Linked DNA regions of Saccharomyces cerevisiae S288C. The protein of the gene in region 1 purifies or fractionates together with the protein of each later gene. This does not show direct contact. Each region holds a gene or a part of one and is shown on either strand. Other genes may lie near its edges.

Region 1 (2,680 bases):
TCAAAATCTTCACGAAACCTTCAGTGTCTTGGTTGGTCTTGGCTCTTGAATTGGCCGCAAAGGGGAACTTACCAATTTTATAGTCAATGCCGGCTTCTTTCAATTGCTCTTCGGTTTTACCAACCCATGCTACTTCTGGGTGAGAATACATGACCGAAGGAATGTTGTTATAGTTGACATGACCGTGACCAGTTTTCAACATTTCGACAGCTGCAATACCTTCCTCTTCGGCTTTGTGAGCCAGCATTGGACCAAATGTAACATCTCCTACCACTTTAATGTGTGGGAACTTGGAATTAAATTGGTCATCAATGACTAGGCGTCCCCTTTTGTCTACTTCTAATCCAATCTTTTCAGCCCCTAAGCCAGCAATGTAAGGTCTTCTACCAACAGCAACCAGCAAAACTTCAGCTTCCAAATTTTCTTGCTTATTCGTTTTAGTATCTTCTACAACAATTTCGACGACGTTCTTGTCGTCGTTTCTCTTTGCAGAAATAACTTTGGTGCTTAATTTGAAGTCCAAACCTTGCTTTTTCAAGAACTTTTGGGTGGCTTTGGCAACCTCGCCGTCCATAGATGCACCAATTTGAGGTTGAAATTCTACTACAGTAACCTTGGAGCCTAATCTAGAGTAAACTGAACCCATTTCCAATCCGATGATTCCTCCACCAATGATGGTTAATCTTTTGGGAATTTCCTTTAACGAAAGAGCACCTGTTGAAGAGACAATTTTTTCCTCATCTATTTCAATACCGGGGAAGGGTGTAACTTCAGAGCCCGTGGCGACTATGATGTTCTTAACATCTAGTATGTGGTCTTCCTTGACAGTGCCTTCCAACCCATCAACGGGAGTTACTCTGATCTTCGTTTCGTCTTCGAATGAACCATTACCTTTATAATAGGTGACCTTATTTTTCTTGAACAGAAGCTCAATACCTCCAGTTAATTGCTTAACAGCGTCATCCTTAGCCTTTTGGAAGTTTGCTACGTTAATTTTGATATCACCGTTGACGTCAATACCTCTCTTTTGCGCTTCCGTATGCATTTGGTGGAATAAATGAGAATTATTTAGAAGTGCTTTGGAGGGGATACATCCAACGTTAAGACAGGTACCGCCTAATTTGCCTCTTTTTTCTACACATGCAGTGTTAAATCCCAATTGAGCAGCTTTGATAGCAGCCACGTAACCAGCAGGGCCACCACCGATGATGACTACATCATGTGACTTGTTAATGGTCAATGTCCTGACTGTGGACGAAAAGGCACGCTTATTATTTAGGAGTGATCTGATTCTTAACATTGTGAACTGTTAGTATGTTCTTTGATGGTACGACAGAGACAATCGAACAAAACCGTATATATATAAATATACGTTATATGTATATATATATCTATATATATTCGAGGTGAGTCAAAGGGTACGAATTATCATCAAATTGTTTATTAGCATTATAATACACTAAGTTTCCATTAAGTTGCTCCGCGGAGACTTCTCGCCAATGAGGGAACAGCCGTTCGAGATGATAAAGTATTCTAAAAACGAGTCATCATTAAAAACGATTCACGTGATATTCACGTGCATAAACCATTAGTAAGTATATATTTTTAGTGGGATATATGAGGGTACATTGCATCATGACTATTCGTGGTAGTCACGCATACGTTTGTCAGTGGCATTGTTCGAGTATTCCTCTGTTCTTCATTTCCCTTTTTTCCTATAGCCTCGCCTACGCTCTTTCACGTTTGTGCTGATAGAAACAATGTGGTAAGAAAAATTAAATCTCTAAAGGTGCAATGAATGTATAAGAAAGTACAACGCATATAGAGTATCCGGCATAGGACAGGATTACGCAAACACACGCACAGATACAATGGTTTCTACCCCTGAACTGAAGAAATATATGGACAAGAAGATATTGCTGAATATAAATGGATCTAGGAAAGTGGCAGGAATTTTGCGAGGCTACGATATTTTCTTAAACGTCGTTCTTGATGATGCAATGGAGATAAATGGTGAAGACCCTGCCAATAACCACCAGCTAGGCTTGCAGACCGTCATTAGGGGCAACTCCATAATATCCCTAGAGGCTCTAGATGCCATATAAAATTATATATATATATATATATGTCGACCTCTATGTACTATACAGCAATACTATTTTCTAATTTGCATTTCCACGCCTGCGTTGCTAAACCCACATTTTTCATAGAATTTGACATTTTTCTCATCGCAATCTAAAATAATCTTATAACAACCGTAGTCAAAGCCGATAGTTACCAATTGATCAATCAAGAGCTTGCCCAAACCTTGGCCCTGATACTTGGAGTTTACTGCAATGTCCTCGATGTGGCCACATAGCCCCAGTTCATGAATGATCTTTCTTTCGATGATGATATTCCCCGTAGCGGCAACCGTCTCGGTGCGCTTGTCCACAATCACCATGGGGTTATATTGCATTATTTTTTTATCTTCGTTATCATTCCATACTGTGGCTTCATTCCAGTATTTTATGAGTTTGCTGAAGGATTCGGGGGTAATAGTGCCCACGGTGGTCAAAACCTTTAGCGTCTCAGTGACCTGTTCCAAATCCCCCTCTTCCATTCGCCTTATATAAAATCCATCGGGTAAGCTCATTATTTTATGTTGATATCCAGCTTCCGTTCGTCAACTATTCTCTCG
Region 2 (3,762 bases), on another chromosome or scaffold:
TGATGTTACGAAAGGTTTTGCGCACTTCTCGTAAACCATACTCATTGGATTCTGGTAGACCATTCATATTATCACACTCGCTCAGGCAATCCACAATTGATGATGCATCAGAAATGCTGAATTCGCCTTTATTAAATGTGTTATAGTTCTCTAATATTCCTAATTTGAAATCCTCTTTCGATAACAAATTGTTCGAATTTTCGAAGAGGTTATTAATCATTTCGTTATCGTTATTCGTGCTATGGGAACCATGTATCACCTTCCCAATGGCATGAAAGTATGATATGGTGGATTCTCGGGTTGAAATCGGCAAACTTCCACTTGATGTCGCCCAAAATTGAAGGGTCGTAATGGCCGACCTAATATCACCAGTCTCTTGCGCAATATAATCTATGACTTCCTGTCTTTTATTCCATTTATTTTTCTCCTTCAACATTTTCATATTCTGTACACAAATAAATTTCAAGTGCTTTTTTAATAAAGTGCTGTTAATTGGATTAAACTTAATTCTTTTCAACCTTGGATGCATCAATATTTCTTTGTTCATTATGGTTTCTGCACTAAATGTATAATCAATACCAAATTTGCGATAATTATTATCGTTCTCTGGAATTTCACATTCAGTTATACATATAACAAGGGGAGGTAATAGAGGCTCCGAACTATATAGCCACTGTAATATAAGTTGTTGAAATCGACGTCTGGTATCTATATGGAAGACGTTGGGAAGGTCCTCGATAAGTATTAATGACAGGTTGGACATCACAAGATACCGTGCGCCTTTTAAGAACTCACTAAAGCTTTCCATCTGAGGAAGATCGTTGACTATACAATCACCTCTAAACTCGGTCACTTTATGCTCGTTCGGGGTGCTTCGAAAGGACGTTCCGTTGCTGTTTTGTCTGTATTTAGGAACTAAGATTTTTGAGAGTTCTTTTATGACCGTACTTTTAGAGCATCCACTGGGGCCAGACAGTAGTAGGATCCTATGCTTGGCGTTAGGTAAAAACATGGCATCTAAAGCTTCTTGTACATCTTTAAGTTTTCTTTTATGTATGGCCACTTGCTCCAAACAATTGGGCTTGAACTTTTCGTACCACTGTTCACCGCCGTCGTCGTTGATACTTGGGAGGATACTAGACGTATCTTGCTTGGAAAGAAAGTCATTTTCAGTGCTTCTCGCCTTACGAACTGGCGAAGTCGGTCTAGATGAGCTCCATTTTGTTATTTGCGAGCCCAATGAACTGAGACTATATTGTAATAAGGGCCGTTTGTTCAAATTCGTACTATCCATATCATTCAGACAGGAACAAACTTGATAATTAGTGGTGTTGAATCAAGTACTATTAACGCATTGTGATGATCTCTCAGATATCAATGCGTGTTTGCTTCTTTGACGATCTAATATTGAATATTGTCGCTCTTTACGAGAATATTAAAAATTTATGCTACTAAAGCTATGTCTACTATAAAGGAATAATACACTAATAGAGATAATCTTGAGTAAAATAAGGTGAAGGTAAATATAAGTAATTGCTTTGGAAGATTTACCGTGAGCCTTCGTTATTAAAAATGACTGAGCATGAAACGAAGGATAAGGCCAAAAAAATTAGAGAAATTTATCGTTATGATGAGATGTCCAATAAGGTGTTGAAAGTTGATAAACGCTTTATGAATACCAGCCAAAATCCTCAAAGGGATGCGGAAATATCACAACCAAAATCCATGAGTGGTAGAATTAGTGCTAAGGATATGGGACAGGGCCTGTGCAATAACATTAATAAAGGACTAAAAGAAAATGATGTAGCCGTTGAAAAAACTGGAAAGAGCGCATCATTGAAAAAAATTCAGCAGCATAACACCATTTTGAATTCTTCCTCCGATTTCAGGTTACATTATTATCCAAAGGATCCCTCAAATGTCGAAACTTACGAGCAGATTTTGCAGTGGGTTACAGAAGTTTTAGGCAATGATATACCCCATGATCTTATTATTGGAACTGCTGATATATTCATCAGACAATTGAAAGAAAATGAGGAAAATGAGGATGGTAATATTGAAGAGCGAAAGGAAAAGATCCAGCATGAGCTAGGCATCAATATAGACTCCCTGAAGTTTAACGAATTAGTTAAACTTATGAAAAACATTACCGATTATGAAACACATCCTGACAATAGCAATAAACAAGCAGTAGCAATTCTTGCCGATGATGAAAAATCAGATGAAGAAGAAGTAACAGAAATGTCCAACAATGCTAATGTTCTTGGGGGAGAAATCAATGATAATGAAGATGATGATGAGGAATATGATTACAATGACGTTGAAGTCAATTCTAAAAAAAAAAACAAGAGGGCATTGCCAAACATTGAAAACGATATAATTAAACTCTCCGATAGTAAAACAAGTAATATCGAGAGCGTTCCGATATACTCAATCGATGAATTTTTTTTGCAGAGAAAACTTCGGTCAGAGCTTGGTTACAAGGATACCTCTGTAATACAAGACCTGTCAGAAAAAATTTTGAATGATATTGAAACACTTGAGCATAATCCAGTAGCGTTGGAGCAGAAGTTGGTTGATCTGCTTAAATTCGAGAATATATCACTGGCTGAATTTATTCTCAAGAATAGATCTACAATTTTTTGGGGCATACGACTGGCGAAGAGCACAGAGAATGAAATACCGAACTTAATAGAGAAAATGGTTGCAAAAGGTTTGAATGATCTTGTGGAACAGTATAAATTTAGAGAAACTACACACTCAAAGCGTGAACTCGATTCCGGTGACGACCAGCCACAGTCTTCGGAAGCAAAAAGAACAAAATTCAGTAATCCAGCAATACCGCCCGTCATAGATTTGGAAAAGATTAAATTCGACGAAAGTTCTAAATTAATGACCGTGACAAAAGTATCCCTACCGGAAGGATCATTCAAAAGGGTGAAACCACAATATGACGAAATACATATTCCAGCTCCTAGCAAACCTGTTATTGATTATGAGTTGAAAGAAATTACTTCTCTACCAGATTGGTGTCAGGAGGCGTTTCCTTCATCGGAAACAACGTCCTTAAACCCTATACAATCAAAGGTTTTTCACGCAGCATTTGAAGGTGATTCAAACATGCTAATATGTGCACCCACTGGTTCAGGTAAGACGAATATCGCGTTATTGACGGTATTGAAAGCCTTATCCCATCATTATAACCCGAAAACTAAGAAATTAAACCTTTCTGCATTTAAAATTGTTTATATAGCACCCTTGAAAGCCTTAGTACAGGAACAAGTCCGAGAATTTCAAAGGAGGTTGGCTTTTCTAGGTATAAAAGTCGCTGAATTGACTGGTGATTCTAGGCTTAGTAGAAAGCAAATTGACGAGACGCAGGTTTTGGTGTCTACGCCAGAGAAATGGGACATAACTACTAGAAATTCAAATAATTTGGCCATCGTAGAACTTGTTCGTTTGTTGATTATAGATGAAATACATTTGTTACATGATGACAGGGGACCAGTATTGGAAAGCATCGTGGCTAGGACATTTTGGGCTTCCAAATATGGCCAGGAATACCCCAGAATAATAGGCCTTTCTGCCACCTTACCAAATTATGAGGATGTCGGTAGGTTTTTAAGAGTTCCGAAGGAAGGATTGTTTTATTTTGACTCCTCATTTAGACCGTGTCCTCTATCTCAACAGTTTTGTGGCATTAAGGAACGGAACTCCTTGAAAAAGCTGAAGGCTATGAATGATGCTTGTTATGAAAAGGTA

Evidence for each region. The genes of interacting proteins can lie anywhere in the genome.
Region 2: the proteins of SMX2 (region 1) and BRR2 purify together in Saccharomyces cerevisiae (affinity purification with mass spectrometry; 5 studies listed by BioGRID, with this or other methods). This does not show direct contact.

The regions. Positions count from the first base shown.
Region 1 is NC_001138.5:101,828-104,507, forward strand, and holds SMX2 (mRNA splicing protein SMX2), read left to right. Parts: upstream 1-1,871; coding exon 1,872-2,105; downstream 2,106-2,680. Other genes in the region: LPD1 (dihydrolipoyl dehydrogenase), read right to left, coding at 1-1,300; GNA1 (glucosamine 6-phosphate N-acetyltransferase), read right to left, coding at 2,156-2,635. UniProt on the Saccharomyces cerevisiae protein: Plays a role in pre-mRNA splicing as a core component of the spliceosomal U1, U2, U4 and U5 small nuclear ribonucleoproteins (snRNPs), the building blocks of the spliceosome.
Region 2 is NC_001137.3:533,832-537,593, reverse strand, and holds the start of BRR2 (ATP-dependent RNA helicase BRR2), read left to right. Parts: upstream 1-1,572; coding exon 1,573-3,762. Other genes in the region: RAD24 (Rad24p), read right to left, coding at 1-1,294.